4 linked regions of the Medicago truncatula genome follow. The protein of the gene in region 2 binds, or shares a complex with, the protein of the main gene of each other region. Links are inferred from orthologs where the notes say so. Each region holds a gene or a part of one and is shown on either strand. Other genes may lie near its edges.

The links.
Region 1: mediator of RNA polymerase II transcription subunit 25 (region 2) and probable mediator of RNA polymerase II transcription subunit 26b share a complex: the UniProt entries of both Arabidopsis thaliana proteins name them as parts of the mediator complex. The link is inferred for Medicago truncatula from reciprocal best matches to the Arabidopsis thaliana genes PFT1 and AT5G05140.
Region 3: mediator of RNA polymerase II transcription subunit 25 (region 2) and mediator of RNA polymerase II transcription subunit 27 share a complex: the UniProt entries of both Arabidopsis thaliana proteins name them as parts of the mediator complex. The link is inferred for Medicago truncatula from reciprocal best matches to the Arabidopsis thaliana genes PFT1 and AT3G09180.
Region 4: mediator of RNA polymerase II transcription subunit 25 (region 2) and mediator of RNA polymerase II transcription subunit 31 share a complex: the UniProt entries of both Arabidopsis thaliana proteins name them as parts of the mediator complex. The link is inferred for Medicago truncatula from reciprocal best matches to the Arabidopsis thaliana genes PFT1 and MED31.

What each region holds. Positions count from the first base shown.
Region 1 is NC_053048.1:41,746,426-41,754,582, forward strand, and holds the start of probable mediator of RNA polymerase II transcription subunit 26b, read right to left. Parts: upstream 3,055-8,157; 5' UTR 2,931-3,054; exon of another isoform or gene 2,678-2,930; intron 2,230-2,677; 5' UTR 2,188-2,229; coding exon 2,179-2,187; exon of another isoform or gene 2,078-2,178; coding exon 1,640-2,077; intron 1,426-1,639; coding exon 1,357-1,425; intron 1,254-1,356; coding exon 1,171-1,253; intron 805-1,170; coding exon 746-804; intron 633-745; coding exon 493-632; intron 383-492; coding exon 355-382; intron 240-354; coding exon 1-239. UniProt on the Arabidopsis thaliana protein: Component of the Mediator complex, a coactivator involved in the regulated transcription of nearly all RNA polymerase II-dependent genes.
Region 2 is NC_053046.1:24,549,387-24,557,252, reverse strand, and holds the start of mediator of RNA polymerase II transcription subunit 25, read right to left. Parts: upstream 3,349-7,866; 5' UTR 3,032-3,348; coding exon 2,934-3,031; intron 1,885-2,933; coding exon 1,854-1,884; intron 611-1,853; coding exon 547-610; intron 1-546. UniProt on the Arabidopsis thaliana protein: Component of the Mediator complex, a coactivator involved in the regulated transcription of nearly all RNA polymerase II-dependent genes.
Region 3 is NC_053048.1:50,166,401-50,174,582, forward strand, and holds the start of mediator of RNA polymerase II transcription subunit 27, read left to right. Parts: upstream 1-5,128; 5' UTR 5,129-5,198; coding exon 5,199-5,475; intron 5,476-5,575; coding exon 5,576-5,741; intron 5,742-7,298; coding exon 7,299-7,746; intron 7,747-8,182. UniProt on the Arabidopsis thaliana protein: Component of the Mediator complex, a coactivator involved in the regulated transcription of nearly all RNA polymerase II-dependent genes.
Region 4 is NC_053042.1:49,977,037-49,984,342, reverse strand, and holds the start of mediator of RNA polymerase II transcription subunit 31, read right to left. Parts: upstream 3,269-7,306; 5' UTR 2,197-3,268; coding exon 2,136-2,196; intron 2,075-2,135; exon of another isoform or gene 2,055-2,074; coding exon 1,988-2,054; intron 1,912-1,987; exon of another isoform or gene 1,642-1,911; coding exon of another isoform or gene 1,610-1,641; intron 368-1,609; coding exon 270-367; intron 1-269. UniProt on the Arabidopsis thaliana protein: Component of the Mediator complex, a coactivator involved in the regulated transcription of nearly all RNA polymerase II-dependent genes.

The sequences.
Region 1 (8,157 bases), on a different chromosome or scaffold from region 2:
ATTGGCTTTTCGCTGAATGTTCGAGTTTAACGGTCTTGCACGGCCAGTATCAGCAGCCATTGGTTTATTAGGCCTAGCTGCAGCCTCGTTTTTCTTCATGTGCTGACTCTTGTTGTCCTTGGCAGTGACGGCCGTTTCATTAGATGCCGGAAAATTCCTCTTGTCCTTAGTTTGAGTGCCAAGAGCTGGCTTTCTTCCGTTGTCACGGTTCTTGTTGAATGGTGCACTCTTTCGAATATCTGAAAAAACATTCCCCATTTACAATCATCAATTTAAGACGAGGGGAATTTAGACACAGAACCGTAACAACGAAAGCTAGGTAGACTAAACATATGAAATGCAAATTCAACTCACTTCCATCGTCATCCATGCCATCAAAGAACTTTACATCGTCCAGATATATACAACACAAGGAAAAACCAAAATTCAGTTTCATATATACAAGCCTTTGAAATGTAAGTTTGAGAAGGGAAAAAGGACAAGTATATATACCTGTGAGAGTTCAATCGTACCGGTTGGGGCAACAAAGAAAGCCCCTTCGTCCAAAGGAGGTGAAGGAAGTCCTCCTTCTTCCTCTTCTTCATTTTCAACAACAGATGGATTTCTGGAGTCCGGTGTGCCTTCTTCTGAAGCTACAAACATTCAATAGCATTTTTCCGACATGAATTAATTTTGAAATCGAATAAGAAACCAGCATAGTTGTACTCATCAATACCACACTAATAAGGTCGATAAAAAATTCTACCTGCGACAGGTGTGGTTGTCGTCGCCTTCACCCATGCATTGACCAGTTCTTTCCATCCACTAGAAATTAAAAAACATTAAACAAGTTTAGAATTTGAGTTTGTTCGGTATCCAATTGAAAACATTAACAGATTTGGCATCTCAACTATTACAATGATATGAATCAAAACAATAATGGCCAAGTCATTCACCTATCTAAAGCATGTCATCAATGTTAACATCAAGGACACATGACTAACTAAGAACATGGTTCAAATTAACTAAGGCTTATAACTTGTGACCATGATTATGGAATCGGTGCAACAGTCTGATTAGTTAAGGATAATGATAGTGAATTGCATATTGAACAACACAGCGGCCATGATTATAAAATAAACCACAATCCGCAGACGAGAAACTGAAATCCATGAAAAAACTAAACCATACTCTATGAGAGTCCGTGCTAGTTGACGGATATCCTTCGATCCATGCTTTCTCAGATGATTCACAGCCTTTCCAATTTCAGTTGACTGCACAATTTAATTTCTGATTGTTAAGAGAACAATCTTAAAAAAAGTACTAGAGAAACAACACAAAGTTCCCCCAAAGCTACTAAGAAAGATCAATTCTAACCTTCAGAAGATCGACACAGAGTTGCATCAGTTGAAGCCTCCTCAGAGACTCAAACAGCACCGAGTCAGACTGTAGCAACATGAAACAAGCAATCACTAATCAGTGATCATAAGACACAAATGAATTCAACCTTCAAACACGAACAAAAATGCCATCCAAAAAACACCATATCAAGACGTATCCTTTCCAAGAATCACATCACACATTCATGAAAATTATAATTCAAAGAATCAAGAACTAATGCATCAGTATGCAAACAACAAAGAAAAAGAAAAGACTATACCTCATCTTCATGGTTATTGAGAATCTCTTTAATCCTCGTAACCTCAGCAACAAGTTGTGATTGCTCTTCAAGTTCATCAGTTAAAGCTTCAGCTTCTCCAAAGCTGTAATTGCTAATAGGGTTAGCATCCATCACTCCATTTTCTTCCCTACTGCAATCCACCTTGCTCTCTTTGCTAGCACCCTCTCTAACAGAACTTCTCTTGCAAAGTTCATCACCATTATCATCATCAGGCACAGACAATTCAACCTTCTCACACCCCTTACAACGATTCAGCATAACAGAAAACAATCTCTCAGCAATTCCATCTCTCCTAGACTTAAACTCCTTTGGACAATCAGAAGCAGCAACAACAATTGCATGGTCAATTATATCGAAAATATCCGAATTCGATGAACGAAAGTAACTCCTCCACTGATCAAGTGACTCTGACTTCATCTTCAATCCCAAAACAACAAAAAATTCAATCTTTCAACAGCTAGATCCAAATATGTTATAATAAACAATCACCCACGATTCAAAACTCAATTTTTTCTCACTTGGGTCATTGAAAATCGGTTTGATTCTTCTTCAGGTATTGATCTTGAACCCTGAATAAAACAATGACGAAAGAATGATCAAAAGGGTGAATATTTTAGTCTGAAAGAATGATAATCAAGAATCAAATTCTTGGAAGTTTGTAAATTTATTAACTTTAATTTAAATTTGATATTCTTGGGTATCCCATTTAGGAAAATTTGATTGGATCAATGTTCGGTAAGAAAATTGGATATGATGATGATATGGTTTTGGAACAGATTCGGTAACAAGAAACAACATAAACCAGAAACAAGAAAACAACATAACACGCATATATGATAACAAATTACTACGTTGTGTGTTATGTAAAAAATATTGTATTGTTTCACATTTTTCTGGTGTGAATAAAAACCAAAAACCTCAAAAAGAAGAAATAACCTTTTTGTTTTGTTTTTTAAGGTACAAAAAAACATCTAAAAAAAAAAAAAAGAAGCGAAATTTAAGGAAAAAATAAGACACCTGAAAAATCTAACAAGAAGAAACTGCAGATTCAGTGTAACAAAAACAAAAACATAATCATAATAATATCTATCTACCTATGTAGATTGTAACAGCTTTTTTTAATGTATACGTAATGTTGCACTATGATGGTATGGTATATGAATAGTCCAATACCGCGTGCGTATGAAAAACTTGGTACTTTTGTTTCTCTTCCAACAAGAAGAAGTACTTTTAGAGAGAGAAAAAAGGGTTTTATGAATTGTGATGATACCTTTTGGTTGTGTTTTGACTTTGATCGAAACAAAATTTGGTTTGGAGAGAAAGATTAGAAAAAGAGCAACAGAAGATGTGGAGAAAGAGAAGTGCTAAGTTCTGTCTCTTTGTGCTACTATTTTTTTATTTCATATAATATATCTAGGGTATTTTTTGGACTGATTTTTCTTAAAGAAATTTACCTATATTTTGGGCCCATAAAAAATATAAGAATATACCTCCCTAAAAAAAAAAAAATTATATTATATTTCTTATCAAAAAACAATTTATATTATATTTATGATATTGTTGATATACTCCGTAATCGAAAAAGATAAACATATTTTGTTATGTTTGTTGTAATTTAAGAGTCACAAATATTTATATCTATATAATTTCTTCAAAACAAATATTTATACTTATATTTTTAATCAAAATCAAACTCTTATATAAAACACTTCTTTATAATCTATAAATTTTAACACAATAAAAAGAGCACTTATATTTGTAAGCAAAATCAAACTCTTACATAAAACACTCGTTTATAATATATAAATTCTAACACAATAAAAAGAGCACCTATATTTTTAATCAAAATCAAACTCTTATATGAAACACTTATTTATAATCTTATAAATTTTAACACAATAAAAAGAGCATAATGTTTGTCGATTCATTACTTATATATAATTTTTCTCGTTATTATTTTGTATTTTTTTAATTTGACTAGTTTTATATTCTATTTTCTATTCAACAGGTTTTTTTTTTCAAGTTTTATCATTATTATTTTGACAAGAATGGTTCAATTTTATATTCAACGGATTGTTTCCATATAATCTTATAATTAATATGGTGTTTCCATATAAATAAAAATTTACCATACAAATGATAAAATTAAAGATAAGATTATAAAACTCACGTCTAATAGATATTTGTGGAGATATTTTACGAACTAGTTTAAAAAATAGCATAATCGGTTATAAAAAACAACATAATCGATAAACATACACTTTATTAATGAATCAAATCATTTACGGACGACAATACGAAAAAGGTATTTCCACATATGAAGGCATAATCAAGTAATTTGATTAAATTTATGTTTAAGTTTTTCTTTAGACGGAATGTTCGTGTTTGTTAAATCTAATAACGAGTAATTTGATTGAATTTATGTGTAAGTTTTCCTTTTGATGAAATGTTCTTGTAAGTTAAATCTAATAACGAGTAATTTGATTGAATTTATGTGTAATTTTTCCTTTTGACGGAATATTCGCATAAGTTAAATCTAATAAAAATGACTTAATTTTTTTTCCGGAATAAAAATGATTTAATTTAAGACTTTGTATACAAGAATTCAACTAAATCAAACAATAATAACATATTTTTAAGTTACTCCCTAAAAATATCTCTAACAAAATATATTAGTTGATTTGATTATTTACTTTCTTAAAATGTCTCTAAAGATAACTAATTGAATTTGATTGAATTCTTGAGTAAAAAAGATATACACGGAATATTCATAAAAAACAATAATCTCTCAAATAAAAAAATATTATAAGAAAGTAGGTAGTGAATGTGGTGCGATATAGATAGATAGGGCCGAGAAAGCGGTTCTGAAGGAACGAGTTATGTGGGGCCCTAGACTCGGTGCTTAAATACAACCAAGTTTTTGTGAGTTTTCTTTATTTTAATCTCATATTCTTCGAACATATCCAAATCTTTCTGTTTAGATATAATTATTAGCAAAAGATTTTACTCTATCTTTTCTTATGCATAGTTTTATTTTTTTTTAAGTTTATTCGGTATAAATTAAAAAATTACTTTGATTGATAACCAAGTTTTAAATATAATTTTACCTTTTTTACTCATTCACTCATTTTATCATTTCTTCCATATAACTAATGGAATGACGAGTATTACCATTTTTTAAGTATGTGTTTGTCTGTTTATATTTTTTATTGTATGAAAAATCATAAATTTATAAATCAAAAAGTCAGAAGAAGATAAAATCATAAATTTGAAACTTAAAAATTCATAAAAAAAAGATCGAAAAGACAAAATTAAAACAAAAATAAATAATGGATCTAACTATTATCCGAAATTAAGTTGATGATTCATAAAGTATCAATTCAATAATAGGAGTTTTATTTTATGACTTAAGGGACCAAGTTAAAATTTCAGGTAATTTTTGCTAATACATAATTTTATTCAAGACCAAAAATATTTTTTTGGTAAAATAACACAATTAATTTGAAATTGAATAATGGTTTATTTTTAATATTATTTTAATTGTGCACATAATTATAGTCAAAGACTAAAATAGTTAATATTATTATAACAAACAAAAGATGATATGACCACAAATTTTATAAACAACAAATAAACTTCCTTTTTATTAAAGAAAAAGATTTAGAGCGAGAGGAAGACGCTCGGTTTAAGGTAAAAGAAGATCTTTTGACCAAAAGAACAACTACAAATATATTTATATTTATCTCTCTTTAAAGATACTAATAAGGCTCAAACCTGAAACGTTTAAACATATCTAAAAAATCTTCCTTCCTCACATAAAAATTGTTTTATTTAATTATTTGACACCGCTTAAAAAAAATGTATAAATAAAAAAAATCTTTTAATCGGGAACTTCATTCGTAATAAACTATAACAGAAATAATACTCTGAATTAAAAAGTATCATTAAAATTCCATCACTAAGTTAATGATTATATTAATTTTTGGGATCAAATTTGAGACCTTCTTTTTAAAACTTATTCAATGTTCTTTAGTTCTCTTATCAAGCTACCTTCACGAGTTACTAACTATTCAACTTGCATAACTAGATAACTAACTACCTCAAAATATACGTACATATTACATGGACAAATTTTAATAAAAATGAAAGTAAATAATTGGTTAAATTTAACATGTTCAATTTTTATTTTTTGAGTAAATCACCAATTAACTACCTCAAAATATACGTACATATTACTATTCAATTAATGAAGGTTTTGAGCTAAAAAACTATGGAAGAGTGAGTATCATCAAAAGAAAAAGCTGTGGGTGATGGACACATAAAAATGGAAATGGGTAGGTGGTGGTCAAGAAGTTGACGTGTTGTTATTTGGAAGTGAGAGACTATGGTATGGTGGTGGCGGCGACACATCAAGTTCACTGCACCGTCACACATGATTTTGTGATACAAACTTTGTACATTTATTTTTTCTTTCGCACTGATTTTTGATCTATTAAAGGTGGCGACTAATCTGGCTCGTGCATAGAGGCATGTGCACTGATCAAGTGTTATTTTTCTTAGGAATTGAATTCGATATTTCTCGGATACGTCAATCGAAGAAGCTTCTTGCCACTGAAGTCCAAATAATTTGGTCCATACATTTTTTTCTTTACGGTATGGAGGCTATATTTATGCACTATAATTGTGAAGAAGTAAAAAAACTTTGTACATTTTTTTTATACACTCCGGAAAATGCTTAGAAGATTTAAGAACATTATTAAGGTCTGTTTGATGTTCAGGATATGATACAGGTAAGATATGATATAAAGTTAGATGGAGATAAAATATGATAATGACATGATAAACATTAATCTTATCATGTGTTTGATGCGCACATGATAACAAACAAGACATCATTATAATTAAATTAAAAAATTGCTCTCATAATTAATTAAATATTATAAAAATGGCATGTTATTAATTATAATAGAAAATACATGCAATCATTATTTTAAAAATAACAATATTATAAAAATGGCAGAATATCAATATAATAAATAAATAAGGAATGATCTTTTTTATAAATGTTTGTAACTTTTAAAATATGAAATCTTACACTACAACATTTTTAAAGAAAAAGTTGTTTACGGATATAATTAGAATACTAAAAACACGAGTATTGGGACAAGACGAAGTGATTAATTATAAAACAGTTAGTTCATTTCGCAAAGTAAATGGTACACGAAAGAGATTTCCATAAAAGAGAGGTGGGTCACTTGGACCTCTTAAATGCTAAGATTTTCCTCGCCAGAATCTCTCATATGTGACATTTTAAGAGCCTTCGAAACAATATCGATAAGAGCCTTCGAAAAGCATGAGGAATCAAGTTGGTAATTAGATAATTAATTATTTTCAAAACGTCTTACATATCAGCCCTACGCGTAAAAATATATTGAAAATACATTATTGTGCACATTAAAAATGTAAAATTGAACGAAATTGTGATTGATTTATTTTTGCTACATATATTCAGATTGCTTCACAAAATATATAAAAAAAACAATCTTTTATTTTAAATCAGACGTGTAAATATATTGAACGAAATTTTTTCTTCAAATTAAAGTCGTAAAATTTAAAACAATTTTTTTTATAAAGAAAGAAATTTTCATTGATTTATTCTTTTTTTCATATATTCAGATTTGGTCCGAAAATATATTGAACAAAAAAATTATTTCAAACCAACAAGTGTAGATATACTGTCTCAAAATTTTGAACAAAAAAGTGGAAATATACTGTCTCAAAATATATTGAACAAAAAAATTATTTCAAATAATCCTTAAAAAAAATTATTTCAAATAAAAAAGTGTAAATATATTGAGAAAAAAAAATTCTTCAAATTAAAAAGTGTAAATATATTAAAAAAAAAAATCTTCAAATAGAAAAATGTAAATATATTGTCTCAGAATATGGTGAGCAAAAATTTTCACCAAATTAAAAGTGTAAAATTGAACAAAATTTTCATCGATTTACTTTTACTACGCATATCCAGATAGGTTCCCAAAATACATCGAACAAATTTGTTTACTTCAAAGTAAAAAGTAAACAAATATTAGAAGGATAGAACAAAACAATTACATAATTCCATTGGCTTCCACGCAGTGATTTTGTAGCTGAATTGATTAACATATTTTTATACACAATCTTTATAAGAATTAAAAACAAACACTTGATTAAACAAAATTAAGCAAAGAGATGCATCCGACTTTCAAACGTATCACCATATAATTATAACATACTAGCATAGATCATATTTGAATTAATGATTCAATTAACGAGGCAATTATGTTATTGCTATGCGACGGACTGGTAAATATTAGAAGGATGGAATCTGATTATAAAACGACTCCGGTGGAGCGTTGACGGCGTATTGGCATAGCATCGTGAATCCGTCTGCGATTGCCATGGTTGCGAGACCTTGAGGCTTGATGATGGTTTGGTCTTCGCCGAGCATTCTTTTC
Region 2 (7,866 bases):
ATTCTAAAAGTCCAAGAGATTATGCAGTGGAAAGTAAAATTATAATAGCGCAAACTTCCCAAACTCGAAGACCCACTTGCTAGTGTAAAAGAACATAGACAGAATTCAAGTAGTAAAACTAATCTATTTTATAATTTAACATCCCACACCCACGCATGTGTGCTCAAACCATGGAAATTTTATAGGTACAAACATGTTTAATCAGTTTCCTTCTTTACCAATATGTACCAGTTTACTTTTTAATGATTTGTTATTGGATATTATACCAAGTAAAACTCTGTGCCACCTTAAACAAAATTATTTTAAATCTAAATTAGAGAGAAATTAAATTATATAGCAGGTGGCAGAAAGAAGTTGATTTATTTTGAATTTAAATTAGAGAAAAATTATATTATGCAACAGTTTACTTAAATATGGTAACTGGGTATAAATTAAAAATAAATCAGCTAACACAGGTAGCAGCAAGAAGTTGATTCTGAAGCTATCAAAAATTATGGTATGAACAGCTTTCACAAAGCAGGAATTATGAAAATTAGCAAACTGTACCAGAATAACACCCATGAGTATTATAGGTGACTAGGGAAAACTCGACGTTGGAACCAGAAGGCTTCTGCAAAAGAAGGGGAAAAAAAAATCAATAGATTAATCACAAGACCTTCATTACACAAGACAACAAGAAAAACACATTTTACTAGTATGATTCTAACAAATGCATATATCTGAACATTTACCAAATGATTCCCTACGGGACATTCACCAAAAAAGACTAAAAGCAAAACCCTGAGCTGCAGATCATATAGTATCGGAGAAAAAAAGCAAAGAAGACCTAAGTATAATGCATAAAACCTAGGCAATGAAGAGACCACAACAAGTTGATATTTCTAGTGATAGAATATGAGTTTCTATGTTTAACAATAGCTTAGATGTGCATGCTATTGTGCTAGAATTTTCCTATAGTTAGTTCAGTTGGATAGAATTTGTTATATTAAAGTTGTCTACTATTGCAGGATAACAACTACAGCTTCGCTCTGTATTACAACTTCTCGTAGTGGTTGCTTTGTTGGCCGCATATCTTTCCAGTACCAAATCTGCTATCGATTTGTTCATGAAGGTGGTGGCATTTGATTATGTGGGTGAGCATAAAGAGGGCTTAGGGCAGCTAGAGTGGTCTTTCCGTTTTAGTTGCACTACCGAGACAAAAGCTATATTTTTCTGAAGAGCAATAGACTTAGGAGTTAGGACCTTAGTAGCATTTCCCTTTTCTAGTAAATTAGTATATGCTAGTATCTCTATTATATTCTAACATGTCTGGTCCAACCTACTTGATCATCAAAGCAAATGATATTTACCCAGCAATAATGTTAACAGGAAAACATCCATGCCAGCATATAAAAAGAATGAAATGAACATATTATCAAGCTTAGCCAACGGCTTCTATAAATCATCACTAGACAATACCAACTTAAGCTACTGAATAGTGGATTGTGCCTTGTTCAGGTAAGATTGAAGGTAACAAATAACAATCAATTGCTTGGAGTGTAGCGAGGCTATGAATTGACTCGTATAGTTGTTCTTAAACATTTCCGAGTCTTTATCCACCGCCATACCATGTGTTATAAGGACTAAAAATGCAGCATTAGCTTTGGATAAATAGACTTCCATAACAAGCTACTTATGTCGTCAAACCATTAGGAAAGACAATATGTTTATCCAAAGCCAATGAAAATAACTAACATACACTCACTACATATGAAATAAGACTAATCAAAAGTGGTCAAGTGACACATTAAATACTAATATTTTCTTTCATTTTTTTCAAAGACTGAAATTTTCACCGAAGTAAAAATGTATACCTGCCCAGTCGACTCGTTCCCACCAAGGCACCTGTAAGAATACCAAAGTAGGTTAAAACATGTGGATCATAAGATGTGTGGTGATATATAGCCATTAATATAGACTGAAGTATGCATGCGTACATGTATATACGGCATATCTAGTGAGAATAGTGTTTTTATGTGCGAGAGGAAATCATATTACCCATTGGAAATCTAGATTTTACGCGTGATCGCTAAGGGAAATCTAGATTTTCCAAAATGTTACGCTTAGAAGTATGGGAATAATAAATGTGTTCGATAAGACACGACTAATTAACTTTCTCATTTCCAAGAATTCATTTCATTTAGGAAAAAGTTATTTGGAATTTTCAACGAATTCCATATCCTCTGAGCTGGATTCATTTCTTTTCCGCATTAGCGCTAAGAGAGCCGCTTTACGCCAAAATGTTACCTATACAGCCGAATAGTATCTTACTGGCAAGAAGCATTTGGATCATGGCAGAAAGATTCGCACCGACTCATGTGATACGAATCATAAAACACAACAAACTTTGAGGCTGCCAATACACAGAGCTGGCTGAATCAAAATGAGAAGAGACACATCTATATCGATTTCAACCAAGTATCATACGAAATTGTTCACATGGATTTATTAGATCCTCTAAAATGAGAAAACCAATGATTATCATTCTGATAAACTCATGATCTGTTACGATATACATGCAATATCTATCTTTGATCCGTTAATTAATGGTTGATATAACTTGGTTTACACTCTAATGTGAATTGCTCACTTTAAAGAGTCAGATCCAGCTTACATGTTTGACTAATACCGGCAATTAGTTCAAACGTCGAACCCAACATGTTTAAATATAGTCTAATAAACCAAACCTAACAACAATCAACACAATTTAATAAACAGAATCAACATCATTTCTACAAGAACAACAGAACTTCATCTTCATTTCATAATCATAATCAATAACAATCAAAACACAATTCAGTTACAGCACTAAAATCAAAAACCTAAACTCCAAGAAAAAAAAAGTTGAAAAATCAAACCCTAATTTTGATTGAAAAATGAATAGAAAAACAAACCTGACGATTTTTTCAAGATAATCCATTAGAAGAGTATCCCAATAAGGTCCCATAGCTGCAGTGGTTTCAACAGCAACGATAAGCTGTTTCTCCGCCATAGTGTTTGTTTGAAACGAAAACGAAAGAAATAACAACAGAAGAGAGCACACAGAATATTAAGGTATTGGGTTTTATATAACACAAAACAGCTTTGGATTTTGGTTTATATGGGAAATTGAAAAGAAAAAGAAATTGTATTATTATTATTACAAAGAAATTGAGTGAAAAATAATACAATGAATGTGGGAATTGTTCTGTTAGTTTGTTTCTGTTACTTTTTGGTGATGACTGTGGCCAAAGGCAGCGGAGTCGTTTAGTTTCACCTTAGTTTGTTTGGGGAAGAAATTCTGACAACGAACCACTTCAGATGGACAACAACGCAAAATGTGGTCGTTAGTATTATTAAACTAGAGTGATGATACATGTGTGGCAATACACCCTTTACATCCACACAAAATTCTGACACGTGGCAACTTGGACCCCACACAAATAGAAGATAAAGTGTGGTTGTGAGATGAACTTACCAAAATATCCCTAATACATGGAGTGTACAATGGAGTGTAGGAATAAAGGGTGTTCATGTAACATTTTCCATTAAACTAAGAGAAAATGATATTTGTACGAATATTTTATGACATTTTTGAATAATTTTCTCTCTCTTACTTATATGATTTTTTTGTTTTCCTCTCTATTATTTTTTATAGATAAGAAATAAGATTAAAAAGGTTGTCATAAAAATTGCTATTAGATAATATGAACCATAATATGAACCACATGCATCATTAATTAAAAGAATCTAAAAAATCAATTTTGCTTATATTTAAAAATGGAGAGAGTATTGTAGAGATAACATTAATTAAAGTAAATGATTTATTTTTTAACAAAATTAAAGTAAATGATAAAATATTTAGACAAAGTCAAAAAATACAATTATGATAATCATAAAAAATATAGAAGAAGACCGCTTTCTCTAAAAATAGAAGAAGGTCGCTTTCTGGAAAAATGTCAAAATTGTTAGGCTGGATGTCATGATCGGGGTTTGAATTCTGGTACCTTCGCTTGTGTATGTGAGTCATTGTAGTTTTATCCGACTCGAATGATTAATCTATGTAAAGTCAAATAAACTATGTAGATGATGCTTAGTTAACAAAAATAAAAGATACAATTAAAAAGAACATATAAACTAATCCCTCCACTAGTATATAAAGTCCATTTAAAAAATTAATAATTTATAGCATCGTATAAATATAAGGTCAACTTTAAAGTTAAATATAAGTATAAATTTATATATAATTTGAAAACTAACTATTTTTTAATTGAAAGATTTTAACCTCAAAACAAATATATTTTCTTAAGTATTTTTCTGTTACAATCTAATATATATTTTTAATTTAAATTCAAGAATAATATTAAATATAAACATGACAAAATACAATAGAAAAAAGGGGATAGTTCCGCTAATAAATTAATATTTAAAAATGTTATTTGGAATTAACCATTTTTGTCTATCCAAAAAATATGATTGAGAGAGAAGAATCTATCTTGTGGGTTTAATAGATTCTTTAAAAAAATATCAAAAGTTATTTTAATAGAATGTTATAAGCCCATAAAATAATATCATTATCATCTAATTCTAATTTGTCATACTACTAAAGGGTATGAGCTATAAAAAGGGTTGGAATTTTAGAGAAGTTTCAAGATTTGAACATAAATTTGAATTCCTCAACTGAAAGGTGCAATGCAAAATGATGAATGTTGAAAATGGATCGATGAATGAAATGTGAGACCTTTAGAAGACTTATGAGGTAATTTAGGAGAAAAGAAAGTTGAATACTTAATGCAGATCAGTAAGTAGCTCGGCAATGTTATGTCAATAGTCTTAAGAAGCAGCACAAGATACCATTAAATATTGGAGAACAAAGATATGTGTTCCACGAGAAAGACTTGCTTGAGCACAAACATTTAGACACATCAGTTAGACACTCACATATAAAATTATATTTCATTTAATTATTTAAAAAGGAAATATTATTTAATTATTTTCTCTCTCTATATTTTTTCAATCATGTGTGTATGTTCAAACCCTTTTGTCCACTTAAGTATTTTTCTGTGTGTTCCACATAGAGGGGAGGTGGTGTACCAACCAAAATTCTAATACTCAAGATAGTATATGATTTAATAAAGTAAGATGTTTATCTGAGAGAGTTGTGTACTACTTCCTCCGTTCCAAATTGTATGACGTTTTGGCCATTTCACACGTATTAAGAAATGTAATTAATATTGTGTGGGGAAGAGAAATTATGAGTTGTTTTACAAAATTATCCTTAATAAATGGTATGGAAAAGATAAATGAAATAATTGAAAGAAGAGGGAGTAATTAATAGTTAAGGATATAATATGAAAAGTAACATTAATATTTCATTGATATTGTAAAGCGACATATAATTTGGGACAAATTTTTTTTCCAAAACGACATACAATTTGGGACGGAGGGAGTATATTGATAAGTGCCAAACTATAATTATTTTCACTAGCACTTATCAACTTATTTGCAAGTTATCAAGTATAAAACCCCCAATTATATATGTTCTGGACCGGCCAAAAGGATCTTTGGCCCATTTACTTAGGCCCAATACACTATAAAGTTCAAACACCACGTTTGATAAAATTACCCGCGACACACCCCTTCCACGCGAGGTGGGTGCACGGAACGAAAGAGACTGGTTAAAACGAACTCCAACGTCTCTTTCCATGTTCCCGCAATAAACTCACAGGCGGTTACACTTCCCACGATTTCGTAATTGTCATTTTGAAAATTTTAATTTATTTCTTTTTAAAAAAATTAATTACTGATAATGCTCATCACAAGAGTAACCAATTTCCACGGATAAGTCCTTGTCAGTTTGACTCAGTTGGTAGGGGCAATGCATAATATATGCAAGCTTCAGAGTTCAAACCCCGACTGTAACACCCCGTTTCCCAAAATCAATTAAATAATAATTTTTCAACATCAGAGTAAAACCCCAACGGGCATGTCACACTACAATTTCAAATTTCTTAAATAGAATATATAAAAATCTATTTAATTAAACATCCTTCAAAATTCATCATTAAACTTGCAGCGAAATAATTCAACTTTAATTAACAATCATCTCCAATAAATATTCATGGCATAGAAGCCTCAACAAGCAAAACCAATCATCAATAGGGCTACAACAGCAATATTCAAAATTTGATACATAGGAAAGAATTAAACACATAAAATCTCATCCCACGTATCAGAGCGCTAGACACTTTGAGCCACCACCAACTACTCAGGATCACCTGCAAGTTACCCATAGGAAGGGCAACATTTTCAAGCAGAAGGGGTGAGATTCACAACAATAATATAGATAAAGAATGCATCATTTGAATCTAACACCCTATCACATAATTCATCAACAACATATAAATATCATCAATTCCAATATCATCAACAAATGGTAATTAATAACTCACTCAACGACTCATGCAACTCATCACCACTCAACTAAGACTCCTCTAACAACACCATGCATGTGGTACCAAAATCAAGACCGTAGCCCTCACCGCTGTAGAATGGTTAAAGCATTCATTTTCAGGACATAAGTCCTCACCACTAACACCACTTTGAGCAACTAGTACTCCACCACTTTGAACGACAAGGCGTTCCAGATCCGAAGCTCTCCCACTGTTATGCTTATGCAACTGACCCACTTGTGTATATCTACATACAACCCAACCTATACATATATGTGTATATGACTCACCACTCCAATTTACAACATTCAAGTATAACTTAATTAATTAAAAGCATACATCCAGCCAGCATCCATTACAATCAATATAGAACATCCATAAAAATACACCAATATAAAAGTCATGCTTAATCATCAAGATAAATCAACCATCTACAACAGAATCCAATCCAACAAATACTGGGCAACTCGCCTCGCGAGCACATCTGCTCGCTATGGCGAGCTTAGGAAAAAGGGCACTCGCCATGGCGAGTTCGAGGCGAACAGAAAAAGTGTAACGCCCTAGTTGTCATATTTAATTATTTGATTTATGTGGAGTCTATATATATATATATATATATGATTTTTGGTGATTTATGTGGTGTGTATATTTTATTATATGGTTTATTTTAATAATAATTAGAATAAGTGTGAAATAATAATTATTTTGATGTTTGGGGAGTTAATAAAATTGATTAGAATTAATGGGGAGTTAAGTGAAAATAAAGGGAGTTAAGTAAGAGGGAAGTTAGGAATTAGATGTCAGAAGCTTTGTACGTGAAAACTGTCAGTTTTGGGAGAAAGAAGAGAAGAGCAAGTAGAACCCAAGAGAATCCTTTTGTTGTGCATTTTTCATTCTGAATTAAGGTAAGGGTGAGGTTTACTTCAGTAGTATAGACTTTAATTTCTGAATTTGAATTTAACAGAGTTTTGGTGAGAATTGGGATTTAGGGGTTTTATGATGAAATGTTGATTTTGGAGTTGTAATGATGATTTTGATGTTAGAAATAGGTTCTGAGTGCATACAGTAAGTTATCTCACATCTGTAAACTAATTTGGGGAGTGAATTGAAGAAAAATGGGATTTTGGGGAAAAACCAGTTTTCTGCCCGTACAGAAGTTCATCGCTCACCTCGCGAGCATTCATGTTTCGCCTCGCGAGTGAGCAACTTCATCGCTCGCCTCGCGAGCAGACCAACTCGCCATGGCGAGCAAGCCTGGACAAAACTTGATTTTTGAAAAGTTGTTATAAGATGTTTTGGGGATGGTTTAAGGTACCTAGATGATATTAATGATGACTGGAACAAGTTTTAGGTTAAAAAGATGAATAGGGAGCTTAGTATTGAGGTTTGAGTGAGA
Region 3 (8,182 bases), on a different chromosome or scaffold from region 2:
ATTTTTTATTTAAAATTATAAGTATATTATATAAATTTAGAGCAAGGTAATAAGAAAAGGAACAAGGAAAATAAAGAAAAACTACCACATGAGCGGTGGTAACAGTGTACTAACGTGGTGTTTTTTTTAATAAGGTACCGTTTGGTCCGGTTTTTTTTTCAGTTTTTCTACGTTTTTAAGGAGAAGTTAGGCCAAACACAATATCAATAAAGTACCTTCGAAAAAGAGTACTTTTTTTAGAATGCATAAAATTGAATGGAATGAGCTTTAACCAAAAGTTGTTGAATGCTACTTCAAAAAACTATTTCTTCCCAATTTATTTCACAAGCACCTCTCTTCAACTCCCGTCGGCAACCTTTTGTTTTATTTTTTCAATACGCTTTTTTCATCCATTTTATTTTTTTTAACCGGTCCATTTAATTTTTTAATGAGGTTCCATTTAAGTTTATTATCTATTTTTTTAAGGAATTTTATTATCTTTTTATCACTTATATATTAATTTCGATATCTTTTGATCATCACAACCACGCAAATATTTGTATTCACGCTGTCAATGAATGACACCGAATATTTTTATTCCCTTTCTTCAACCACGGAAATACACACACACATTAGTGTTTAGAGTAATACTTTATGTTCCTCTTTCTGTTTTTTTTTTTTTTTGTTATGCTAATGCGTATAATTTTTGTTAGTGTTGTGTAATGCGTATAATTATTTTTATAAAATTTTGATTTTAATTAAAAGTACAAGTGTAGTTGCCTAAAAAAATTATACTTATATATAATTTACACATTTGTATTGTAACAAACTATGCATATCTTTTTCTTATTAAAAAAACTAAACATATCTTTTTCAATGACACCAGCAATGTAACAAATATAATATTATATATATAAATTCTTATCTTTTTTACCAACACTAAAAATATGGTATTCTTATAACAAAATTTGTTATAGAGTATAATTGGAAAAGAAAAAACCAATTATTCTCATTATATATACACACATATACATATTATAGATATGATTGAGCGTGACGAAGAAAGCAATATAAATGAAGAAATCAGTTCATATAATCCAGGAAGAGTGCAAGATGGAGGCTACATGAATAGAGTTAGAAATCAAATAGGAGTTGCGTTGATGGAGAGTAGAAATATTTGAGTTTGTGATGATTTATGTCTTTAAAAAAATGATTATTGTTTTTAATTTTCCAAACTACTATGATATTATTTATGTTATTATTTGAGCCTCCTTAAATTATTTATCCTATTCAAATATTTAACAAGTCGTTTATATGATGATACAAATTTGTATTCATGTTACACAAAATAAACGTCATTGAGTAAATATAGTATTGGTAAAAATATATATTTTATATTTTAAATATTTTTTCCCTTCAAAAAATATTTTAGACATTTTTTTATTAATTATGTTAATTCATAATGAATTCAAAGTTTTTTTATTTATAGACAATGCATAAATATATGCAAGGTCCCGGGTTCGAACCCCAAACACCACCAAAAAATAATAATTCAAAGTTTTGTACAATATTTTGCCAAATAGCTTTTAACTCAAAAATAACTTTAGAACTAAAAAAAAAATAAAGAAACCAAACAGCTTTAACCTTTTTCTTAAAGAGCTTTATTTTAACTTTGTTTTAAAGTAGCTTTTAGACCGAAAAAAAGTCTGGCCAAACGGTACCTAAAAGTGGGTAGTTACTTATAAATGTGGGTAGTTTTTTTCATTAAAAAATAAATTAAATTAAATTGATGAGGATAAAATTGGAAGAAAATATAAAAAGCTATGAGCTCCAAGCTCAAAAGCTACTTGAAATAGCTTCTCATAAAAAGTTATAAACTCATGAGAAAAGCTCGTTAACAAACACATCATATGGCTGTGTTTGGTAACACAAAAAAGCTAGCTTATAGCTTGTTGGATTAGCTTATAAGCTCGTTAGATGAAAATGTGGCGTGTTTGATAACAAGCTTTTTTCATGAGCTTATAGTGTTTTCTGAAAAGCTATTTCAAGTAGTTTTTTGGCCTCATTTGGATTGGCTTATTTTGAGCTTATGTGGGCTTATCTATTCCCATAAGCCTTTTTAAAGGTGTTTGGGTAAATAAATAAAAATAGCTTATCATAGTTTCATAAGCTGTTTATGGCAAATTTCAATAAGCCTAAATTTTCAGCTTACCCTCCGGCTTAACAAAGAACTTATGAATTTATGTAACCTCCTTCGATTCTCTCCGGATCCACTTTTCAAAACATATATTTTAATTATAATATTAGTTATCTTTGGCGGTGCATAGTAACAAAATTCCTATATACTTATCTTACTAAAGTAACACATGTAACTAAGATTTTTTTTTTTTTAAGGAATATTTTTATTATTTTTTTGTTACATAACAAAATGAAAACTGAATAAAAAAAACAAACTTAACTTGATATTTTTTTAAGGACGAATATTGATTATACTATATATATATAATTATAATTAATATATTATAATATTGTTTTTTACATCTTGATTAATTTTATCAAAAAAAGTCTTGATAATTGTGGTTCGATTCTCTGATATTTTTGTTAAATTAAAAATATTTAAAATTTCAATAATTGCTTATGTAATGTCACATCCAAACACTTCAATTTATGTAAATACTTTTTAGTGTACATATCGAAACATAAATAGCTTATCAAGTATAAGAGCTTATGATGTAAACTCTAATGCTATAAGCATCTATATAAGTTGTTTATCCAAACGGGGCCTTTAACTTATAGCTGGTAGCTTTTTATATTTTCTTCCAACTTTAACCCTATTAATTAAAATTAATTATTTTTTTAATTAAACAACTACCTATGTTCATCTTTATAACCGCCCCATTTTTCCCTTAAAAAAATACCACGTTTTTTTTAGGAGCACTTTATATATATATATTTTTTTTAAGGAAATGCTTTATATTTTGCTATAACTAACCTGCTCTACACCACACAAAAAATAACTAGCCTATTTTTTTTTAAAGGAAAAAATAACTAGTCTATTGTACGTTTTAAAATTTTATATATTCTAGCTCACATTTTGTTTCCACCTTTCTCTTATTTTTGGGATTCATAAAGCAGAGATCAAAATTGTCGGTGAATTTTTTTTAGGATTAAAGGTCGAAGAATAATTTTATGGAGACTAAGACCAAAAGTTTGAATATTTATAGGGACCAAAAACATATTTAACTATAATTAAAAATATTAAAAATAAATACATTACAAAAAAATGTGTGTGTCTATATGTATATTAAAAAAAATAAATATGTCATTTTATACTTATCAGTCACTTCAACAACTAATTTTACCAAACACATTATTTTTAATAAGCAAGCTTTTTAGCTATAAGTTATCAGCTATCAACTAGCTTTTCAGCTATCAACTAGTTTATCAGCTATTAGCTAGCTTATAACTTATTTTTACCAAACAGAGCCATAAGCTAAAAAGCTACTGGAAATAGATTCTAAAAAAAAGCTATAAACTCGTGAGAAAAGCTTCTTACCAAACACATCACGTTTTCATCCAACGAGCTTATAAACTAATCTAACAGAGATATAAGCTAACTTTTTTGTGTTACCAAACACAACCTTAGTATCTGAGCAAAAAAGGAGTTTACGTGGAATGAATCGTACATCGAAGGATGTTGGAAGTCCCTTCTTTTATAGACCAAAATGCAAAGATCCAACGAGTGATGCAAAAGGTGTTACATATTCTACAAAACATAATATCATGTCTCTCGAGGTCTCTCTTTGACGGAGAAGGAAAATGTATTTAGTGTTTGGGTTTTGTTGGACATGTTTATGAGCTTTAGCCGGTATTGGACTTATGTTTGAACCATGAGTTGTCGAACACAACCCTAGGGTGCGTTTGATTTGCTAAAAAATGAAGGACAAGACAGAACAACTCTAGTTGTCCAGTGTTTGATTTGTAAAACTGTTTCAGGTACAGGACAAACTGGAGGCAAGGGACAGGACAAAAACTCATATTTTTGTCCCTTACCAAACCACAACACAACTTTTTGTCCCACGTACAAGTTGTCTAAAACATCAAAATAGCATTTTGTCCCTCAAAAATCGTATAAAACAAAAAATTACTCAATGCCATAAAAAATTTGTCCTGTACTGTTCTGTCTTGTGTTGTACTGTTCTATCTTGTACTGCTCTATCTAGTACTTGCTGTTTTGCAAACCAAACACAATATTGAGAGAGCTTCTCATGTATCTAATTTTCTAATTTGTTGTAAACGCATATGTCAAATTTCCATATAACTTTTCTTTTTCATTGTTACATCCCATTTAAAAAAGAAATGCATAACATATGCAAGGTCTGGGGTTTAAACTTCGATCACCACAAAAAATAAAATAAAAATATTCAAACTGGATGTTTTATTTTCTATAGTTTTCGGCTTGAAAAATTAAGTCCTCTCAAAATAATGTATTTATTTTTTTCGTTAACTTTTTGATTTTCAAAGGGACGAGACTTGTAAGGTAAATAAAATTCGATCAAAAAGTGTTATGCAAAATGTAAACTCATATTCTCTAAAACGAGTGTAATTTTGTAACAAAAAAAAAAACGAGTGTAATTTTTTTTTAAATAACCTAATGACTGGAGCTCAGACATTTTAAATGTGGAGAAATGAGATGTTCGGGGTTTGAACCCTGATCGGCATATACTATGTATTGTTCATACCAGAGCTAATCTTATGGAGATAAAACAAACATAATTTAACTTAACACATTATACATATGTGTCAAATGAGTTGTGTTATTTGAACAACCATTTAGGTGACAACTTTGATGACAACCATAAATTTACAAAGAAAAAGAGGTATTGATACAAAACCAAAGCAATAGAGAGAGAAAGTAAAAATATAATACGAGTATGAGATAGAAAGTTGTCACAAAAATTGTTAAAAAATGGTTGTTCAAATATCATTTCTCGTGTCAAATATACTAATATCTATTTTTAGAGTTGTTTTTTTTAGGTGTTAACCGTACAAATTTATTTATGTCATAGTGAGTGAGTTTAAGCAGTGGTTACAGTTTGTATTATTTGATGGGCCTTTACCGTTAAACGAAGGCCCAATCCGAGTTGTACGAAAAAATACTAACCGAGGAGGATCCCACTATCTTTTTGCTACCATCCCCAGCACCAAAAACAGTGCAAATGCAACAAACTCAGCAAGCCACGGCGGCAACTTTCTCAACCCCCACTCCTCCTCCCTCCTCCACCGCCGAAGCACCTCCGAAGCAGGTTGCTCTAGCTATGGACAAACTCGGTCAAGCCGAACGTATCATCGCCGACATCCGAATTGGCGCTGATCGTCTCCTCGAAGCTCTATTCATCGCCGCCGGTCAACCTCATCAAGGCAATAAGCCTCTTCAAGTTTTCGTCAAAGAGAATGCTTCTATGCAACAGCATTTTAAAGACCTTCGATCCCTCGGTATGCGTTTTCAGTTTCGTTGCGTTTTGATTGATTTTGATTTCGCGATTAGGGTTTTGGTATCGTCGGTGTTGTTTGATTGATTTTTTCGATTTGATAGGAAAGGAGCTTGAAGAAGCTGGAGTTCTTAGTGAAACTGCACGGTCACGGAAGGATTTTTGGGGATTGCATATGCCGCTGGTTTGTCCAGATGGTGCCGTTGTTGCCTATGCTTGGAAACGACAACTCGCCGGTCAAGCTGGAGCTTCTGCCGTTGACAGGACTAGGTTTGTTTCCGCTCTTTTGGTTCCTTGTCAACATACCTAGCAGACACCGAACACGACTCAAACTCTTAAACGGTTGTAGTAATTTAAGAAAATAACATAATTGAATGTAATCACATGTGTCGGTACTACAAAGCAACTTACAATTTTCCCTTTTGTAGTTGGTTCATTTTGATGAATGTTATGGATAGGAATCAAATCCAAAGAAAAAAGAACCAATGGAATTAATCATTTTTAGTTAGAAAATATTCTTTTTCCTTTACGAAGATATGCGCATACTTAAGAGTTAAGAGGATATTTTAGTTCTTCGAATCGTAGTATTACCTCCGGAATTCATAACAAGCAGTAGTTATACATGATATGAGCTTTAGCCAAGTTATGCTGCCAGATAACTGCCTCATACGTGCCTGAGTTGTGTGGAAATACAATTAGTACAGGTATGCTAGGTTAGTGTTGTAGATTGTTAGATGCAAGGGCCAAGGTTATATGATAAGAACATGAATAACAATGCCACTTGGGGTGATGCGAGCTCACACATCATATTCAAGCTCTAGTCGGTCCAGTCACATGAATGTGTGCTGATCTTTTCAAGGAAGCACTTACCGGATTGATTATACATTTTTTTTTTTAAAATGAAAGAAATTGGCAAAATTACACAATTTGTCTCTTTAACTTCAAGTAATACTTTCGTCCTTTTATCTTTTTTTTTTTTTTTCCGACTTAATCCTTTATGTTATAAAATGTCATCATCATTATTTCTTTTTTTATTAAAAAAACTCACCAAACTCATAAACAAACCCATTTTATCTTCATCATACAATTCTAGAAATCCAAATTTAATTGAAAAAATCCCTTAAACCCATGAGTCCATTTTCTACATAACCTTAATCATTTATTCCCAACTCATCAACAAAATCAGCCATAACCAAAAGAAAAAAACAACCATAACCAAATTCCAACTCCGTACCCAAACAAAAGAAACAAAGAAAATCGAAGAAGAAAGGGTGAAAAAAGATGAAGATCCTTTTATGTTGTTGGAGTGCTAGGTTGATTGACGAGAGAGAAAATGAAGAAGATGAAGTTTTGATGAAATTTTGCATTTTTTGACGAAGTTGTGAGTTTTGTGATGATTTTTATGGATTTTTGATGAATTTTATGTATTTTGTTTTTAATCTAAAAAGGATAATGGTGTTTACATTTTATAACATAAAGGATTTAATAAAAAAAAAGATAATATAGGACGAAAGTATTAGCTGAAATTAAGTTAAGGGACAAATTGTGTAATTTTGCCAAAGAAATTCTATTAAGGAGCACGAATGGCCAACAAATAAGCCTATGCATGGTTGAAGTTTTGGAAAGAGAAAGCGAGAAAGGGTCTCATATTTTATTGGAATTAAGTAATATTAAATTAGGTTCTTATTTCAGATTTGATTCAGGTGGTTAAGTTTAGTCAGTAGATAATAAATACTCTTGGGATTTGTCGGATTTATCATACTGACTTCTCAATGCTGCTGACCCATGTTACATTAGCTGCTCACTTAGGCTTTTGAATGATTTCAGGTTAGCTCTCAAAGCTTTTACTGATCAGAAAAGACGTTTTTTCCCCCATCTTGATGATGGAGTTGAAGCTAATGAATCAGATTCAAAGAAACGTTGTGGGTCTGAAGAAGTCACATTTGAACCTAAGGAAGTAATGAGTTTTCTAAGGACGCTGCCAGATGTTCTGCAGTCCTTGGAAAAGGAAGTGCCAAATGTGAAAATTTCAACTTTTGAAAGGCTGGACTGGTTAAAATGTGCTTCCACACTCACCTCTTCACCAAATGAGAGTTCTGAGGAACATAACTATCGTGGTTCTAGTAAGCGAAAGTTAGGATCAATGGGAATGGTTGCTCCAGAGAAGGTTGCAGTCATAGAATTGCTGTGCCCTTCTATCTTCAGAGTTGTTATATCCTTGCATCCTGCTGGTTCCATTGATCCCGATGCTGTCGCTTTCTTTTCTCCAGATGAGGTATGTTTATATTTACCATGGTTTGTCTTTCCTAATATTCATTACGGGGTGTGAACTATTTGTTCTGGATATCGTATTATAAATAATGACTCGGCGTTAGTTTTGGGATGCTTATGTATCAGGTAACTGACAATCTCAGAAAATTAAGAAATTGAAAATGTGATTGTATTTACTCATCCAAGTCTAACTGTTTCCCAACCTCCACTCTGCATAACTGCCATGCATGCCTTGTAGCTTTCTCTCTCAATGACCATCTTGGCAGAAAGTTGCAACTCTTATCCCCTCTGAAATTTTTTGATCTAGTGCTTCACATCTCTTCTTTCTCCTCCCATAGACTTTAGTTATTTTGAATCATGGCGCCAGGCCTGTAACATCGTGGTTAAAAATATTTTCACTTTCCTCTCTTTTGAAGCCCTAGTTGATTGAAGTGTCGATT
Region 4 (7,306 bases), on a different chromosome or scaffold from region 2:
AAACTCAATGTCATCCAAGTGCAACCCCTTAAACAGACCATGTACTTGAAATTAAATAGAAGCCAAACACCTAATCTACTCCTGAATAATCTGCTGTATCAAAGATACCGATTACTTATAATTCCAACATCCTTTTTTCACAACTCATTCCTTGTTTTCTAACTAAACAACTTTTTTGCCCTTTCAAATACACGATTCAACAACCACATATGCAGCTATTACTTAAATTAAAGAAGCTGAAACTCTTATTGATAAAATGAAAATCATACAGTGTATGTAGGTAGGATTTGCAAGGCATTGAACAAATTCCAGTTCCAGCAAAAACCGTTGTCGCCCATCATCTGGATCCTTGTATATACTCTTTGGCCTAGAGAAAAACAACCATCAGCGCTTAAGTACAGCTCAATATGTCCAACAAATCCCAAAATCATACTTCTATTAATGAAAAAAGAAATTGATTAAGACAGAACAAATTAAAATTTGTAGTATACGGAAAGCCCTTGAAATGGGCACACACTTCATGCTGAATAGAACACAAACACTATTGGTTATAACCAATTTATGCAGGGTGGCTTGAGAGTTCCTCTAAAAAACCAACCAGGCCTGGTAGGCTTAAACTAATAACTTTTCCAGCATAAAGTGCCTCTCCTTATCTTTTGCACCATAAATTAAATTTTCAAACTGTTACCAGATATGCCCATTATAACAAAGACCGATCATAAAAAAGAGTAAAAGAGCAGACTGATCAGAGGGATGAGCTGCTGTCTAAACCCAATCCGAGAAGAATAAGAGACTAGAAAGACCGAGTCTCCAAGTTTTGTACAAGAAGGATGAAAGACGCATCAAGTGGAACAACAAAACTAAAAAATCAGAGACGGATAAAACAGTTGGAGGAATGACAGAAGGGGCATATGCCAATTGGAGAGTGGAGCGATAAAGAATCAGCTCTATTGTGCAGCACTTGTAGGCACTCGTTTCTACTTTTTTTTTTCCCGTCATTCCAACTTTCCTGTTTTCGCTCTCGCCATTAATTTTTTAGGTTTTACCGGTCTCTGTTTTATCAAATTTGTATCAAAGCTCCCAATCCTGGGAGAGTATGAAATCTACAGGAAGGGAATCCTTAGAGACAAATGGACGAAACAGGAAGGTAATTGACAGGAAAAGAGGCTAATGATGGACACTCTAATGCTTGCAGTGAGAGCGGCTGTGGCTTGTCACACAAGGGTTGATCATGACTAATGAGTCGGGAATCACAGAGGAAGGGAAAACATTCTTCACAAAGGCTTAGCCTCACCATCACAAACAATTTTTCTAAAATGTTGACTTTCTGACCCCCCACCTTTAACTATATAGAAATGATTCCATATATCTCTCCATGTTAGAAAGATAGAATACAAGAAAATGAGAGAATGTTATCAGAATTCATTATAATTGGTTGAATGATAACAATTATACTACTTTTTTATTTATTACAGATACATAGTGTAACAAACTCTAGCCAACTTGAAGCCTGTAGAACAAGCTACTGACTCTAACTAACTAGAAGCTTCCAACAGAAGCTATTAACAACAGAGAAATTCAGCTGTCATAAGACAGCTGTAACACCTACCTTACAGAGGCCGGGCTCAAGGCCCGGTCCATACACTATCTCTAACACTATACTCTCCCGTTGCCATTTGTCCCTTCTGTTATTCCTCCTCTAACTGTGTTTTCTCCCACAACAACTTTTGTTGTTCCCCTTGATACGTCTTTCTTCTTTCTTGTATAAACTTGGAGGCCTACTCTATTTGTCCCCTTATTGTCCTCGGGTTGGGTTGAGATAGCAGACCCACCCCCTTGCTTACTTTTCCCCTTTGCTCCCCTTCTACGATAGACTAGTGTTGTATTGGGCCTATCAATATCAAACACAACCTTAAAAAAAAATGTGGCCATGATAATGTGACATGCAAAAGGCATTGAAATTAAAAAAGATTACAATTATACTTACGGTGATGGTGGGGTATCTCTTGGACTCCCGCTTTCAGTTTTAGAGGCCATGGAAACAGAATCCTCAACTACAAGAACAAAAACACACCTATTTAATGAAATATAATTAGCAGGGTTAGAGCTTGGAACTTTTATATGACCCAGATCACCTTTGAATATCTCTCTTAATATAAGAAGGGAAGATGTTGTGGAAAACTTATTTTTGCCCATCAATGATTGGCTGCCACATATCACTTTTAAGGGTAAATTTTGTCTTAAAATTACTTTTTCTAACTAAATGACCTCACTTAACTACTATGATGTCATTTAACTATAAAAAGCTTATAGTTTGATTTATTTTGCTCTTCAAAAAGTCAGTTCCATTACATGCCAACTATAAGCCAGATTTTGGTTGACACGGAATCCAATCAATGGAGCCAAATTCTCAATTTCAAAATTCAAATTTCAAACAGACTTTATATTTATCCTTCAATACTCATATTCTTTCATTTTCCTTTCCTCTTTTTTCTGACTTATTCTTATCTACATTTTTTCTTCTTTTCATTTCTTTAGCTTCATTTTCTTCTCTCATTGCAGGAAATTCTTTTTAAAAGGAAGAACACAGACAGGTAAAATAATTTCTTTTCATCTTTACAAAACCATGAAAATGATCATTAAACTCATTATTTCTTTAATTTTTTATCTTCATTTTATTGTTGAGCTACATATGACATATTTAACAAACTATAGAATCTTCAACATCACATATGAGGCAAAACAAGAAAATGTATAAAGATGAGAAGTTAAAGAAAGAATACATATCCAAAAACAGTCCTAACACAATTTTACAATTATATCAACAACAAAAAAGCAAATATACAAAATATATTCATTAGAAAATGCTGATGATTGTGCCTTCTTAGTTTGTTTGTTGTTTGTCTTGCAAACTTGTCAGCTGATCTAATGTTTATCCTTTCATTGTCAGGAAGATTCCAGATCACATACGAGCAATAAGGGAAGGAAAAAAAAAAAAAAAAAAAAAAAAAGAGCCCATAAATAAGAGATAGAGGGATGAGCAGCTGATTCTCAGAGTGAAAGAATTGAGAATATGGTTTAGTATCAGTTTGGTTTTATTTTTTTATGCATAACAATTTCGGCTTTGTAAATAAATAAAAAACTATGTTTTTAGTTAAACCACAACAAGTAAAGTAATAGCATAAAGTGAATTTTTTAGAAAGAAATGAATATTATTTGAGTCATATTACAAGAAAATGTAAGTGAATTTTTTGTTAAATCATAACAAGTAATAACAGAAAGTGAAAAAAAAAATTCTTTTGATTTACAAATAAAAATTTTATTCTTCTGTAAAAAAAAAATCCTAAATTCTGAAGAAAAAAAAAAAAAGGCTGTTCTATAGATTTTTGTTATCAATCTGTAGTATAAAAAAAAAACAGACTTTTTTATCAGTAGCATCAGAACTAAAAAAGATTCATCTACAAAAGAAATTTTTACATCTCTAGAAATAAAACAAAATCACATCCAATTTCATATTTGTATTGTTGTTGTTGCATGTAATGGAAACAAAATATGTAAAGAACTTGACCTTGATGAAGACAACAGCCCAGGTTTAAGTGTTTGTGTAAAAATTCTGACCCAGATCGGGATGAAAACACGTAAGCTCTTTCCCGGCGCGGTGGTTGCAAGCTCCGGCGTGGTGGTCACCGGCGAAGGTTGTCCGTTCCTGATTTTTTTAAATGGGTTTTGTAGAGAAGATGGAGGGGACTCTTTTTATGGTGATGGATTTTCAAAAGCTTGTGCGTGGATGTCAAGATCTAGCCGAAAAGATGGTCGTAGGGAAATTTAAAATCATCTTTGAGTTGAAATAAATTTGATAGAGTATAATTACAGATGAAAAGGAGAGGATGAAGATGGTGGAGCAATGTAACGACTGCCGGAGACACACTGAAGGAGGGAGGAGGCGGCGGCGGCTAGGGCTTGTTTGAGAATGAGAGAGTTTTCTAGATTTCTTTGGTGAAGAGAGAGAAAATTAACTTTGAAATAAATATGGTGTGTGTGGAATAAAGTTAAATGACAAAAAAATAGGCTTAATTGCACTTTTGGACCTCTATCTTTCCAAAAGTTGCGGTTATGGACCCCTAACTAATTTAAATACAAAACAACCCCCTATGTTTTGATTCTTTAGCAGTTTTGGACCCCCAAGGCAAAAAAACAAAAAAAATATTGACACGTGGCACCTCACTTAGGGTGCCACGTCAGCGTTGACCGAATCAACAATGTACTGGGGTCCAAAACTGCCAAAGAATCAAAACATAGGGGGCTGATTTGTATTTAAATTAGTTATGGATCCATAACCGCAACTTTTGAAAAGATAGGAGTCCAAAAGTGCAATTAAGCCCAAAAAATAAAATAAAAAGAAAATTATAAAAATATACTCTAAGTTTGTACGAGATAGAAAGGGGTAAAGGGGTATAGACTTTTGAGAATTGCTGTTCCCACATTACATAAGGTTGTGCCACACGAGTAAATGACGTTTTTGCCCCTGCGGTAGTTAACTACCGAAGTTTGAAACCGGCTGCAGTTAACTACCGAAGGTCCTTCGGCAGTTAACTGCCGACGAAAAAACGAAAAAAAAAAAAAAAAAACATCGGCACTTAAGTGCCGAAGAACTCATAATATTTTTTTTTCAAGATTCTCTTAGACTTTCAATTCCACACTACACTGAAGTGTTTCTTACATATTTCAGAAATAATGTGCTTGCCACTTTGATACAATATACTCCCTCTGGTCCTATTTACAAGAGACAATTTACTTTTTAGATACATCAAATAATTTATGTATTTGGTTTATTGACTAGATACATATATTATTCAAATCTAAAAAGTCAACCTTCTCTTATAAATAAGATCGGAGGGAGTAGTATACAGTGGACCATATTAGACAAAGACAATATTATCAACAGGAGCAATTCTTCATTAGCTTTTGTGAAAGTAAATAAATAATTCTACTAATCACAATAGGCTTAACATCTTTCATATTTAATTATACATAATTGCATGTGTAGCATTAGTGCATTACACATTTCTTTCTATATAATATATTGTTAGTAGTAAGTTTTCATTATTTATATTTATCTTGAATGAAATCATGAGATAGTAAGTTTTTAATATTTCCAATTGTGGAGGTTAAAGTCTAAGAGAATCTTGAAAAAAAAAATATTATGAGTTCTTCGGCACTTAAGTGCCGAGGTTTTTTTTTTTTCGTTTTTTCGTCGGCAGTTAACTGCCGAAGCTGCAGCCGGTTCTAAACTTCGGTAGTTAACTACCGCAGGAACAAAAACGTCATTTACTCGTGTGGCACAGCCATATGTAATGTGGGAACAACAATTCTCTAGACTTTTTTTATTGCAAAATTAGTGTAACATAATAAAAATAAAAATAAATAATTTCTTTAAAAAAATAATTATTATTATTATTTTATTTTATTTTTATCAAATAATAAAAAAATAGTAGTAGTTTATTTAACCTATAAAAATATAATTTAATAAATGTTATTTTACATACGCGCGCATATATATATATATATAACGACGTGTTTTTTTACAAGATCTAAAGACGTGTTGTTACATTAATTAATGAATATTAAAATTTAATTTTTTAATATTCATAAAGACATAAGGTAAATAAATTTCATTGTTACATAAAAATAACGGTAAAACATTGATCGTTTGATACGTACAACATATCAAAGAGAGTAGTATTAGAAAAAAGAGTGATGTGTATGGATTTAAAGTGAGGCAGTAACAGACGAGATATAAATAGTTTAAGAGACAAGTTTTAAAAAAGGAGTAAAAAGTCAATTACCCCCCTGAAATTATAACTTTCGTCAAAACCCCCCTGAAATTGTCAAGCGTCTGTCAATTACCCCCCTTCGTTAACTTCCTCCATCCAACATGCTGATGTGGCCGTTAACTGCCACGCGGCGCTGACACATGGTCAAAAAAGTCATGCCACGTCATAGGGGGGTAATTGACTATATTTTATTTTATATAATATATGAAGGAAAATTTCGAACAAAAATAAAATAAAATAAAATATAGTCAATTACCCCCCTATGACGTGGCATGACTTTCCTGACCATGTGTCAGCGCCACGTGGCAGTTAACGGCCACATCAGCATGTTGGATGGAGGAAATTAACGGAGGAGGTAATTGACAGACGCTTGACCATTTCAGGGGGGTTTTTTACATTTTGCAAAATTCAGGGGGGTTTTGACGAAAGTTACAATTTTATGGGGGTAATTGACTATTTACTCTTTAAAAAAGAGTGACAAAATATAGGCTTAATAGGTCATTTGGTCCTTTAATTAATTTCAAGTTTTGATTTTTGTCCCATAACTAATAAAAGTCAGGTTTTGGTCCCTCAATTGTATCTCCGTCGGTCAAATAAATCCTTGGCTGTTAAGTTTAACCCCAAATGTCTATGATGGATTACTTTTAGAGTGGTCCACCATAGATCCTATTAAATATTTTAATTTAAATCGTTTGATCTTTATTTTTTAAAAGAACCATTAGATTATACATGTCTATTTTATCTTATGATGTACCAGCAACACCTAACTTTTTTTCCTTTTCTTCATCGTTCTCCCCCTCAACTTCTTCATCATCTTCATCAACATTCTTAAAAAGAAAAAAAAAATCCAAAAACTCATAAATCATCATCAACCAATTTTTCTTTCCTTTCTTCATAATTCTATCTAGCTTCTTCCCTATCCTCATCTCTGAACAAATTTGCAAAAAAGAAAAAAGAAAAAAAATCCAATCCAATTTCAATTCAATTTACAGAAAATCAAAATAAACAACCCAATTTTTTTTTCTTCGAAGAAGAATGAATTGAAATTCGATTAAACAATAAGCAGCATTCACTTATCATTACAATCAACAGCAAGCAAAATTAACAACCCACTATATTAGTTTTTCTTCAATAAGCAACGAAGGATGGTGAGAAATAAACAACCCAATTAGTGGCTATAACATATATTGTTAATATAGAGTTTTTCTCACCATCGTTCTCATTATTACAATCACTTTCTTTCTCTATTCACACCATAGCCACTAATTTTCCCTTTTCTCTCTTTAACCAAACCCTTTTTCAAACAACGTTTGTGTGTGTTGGGGTAATGCAGACTTGTATTTTGGCCTTCTGTATGTTATTTTTTCATTTATGTTCGTTACTGGTAGTGTGGAATTTGGTGGCCTGTGACGGCAGAACCTAACTGCGGTGGCGAAAGCAATAACAATGAAAAAGAAGAGGAAGATCTTAAA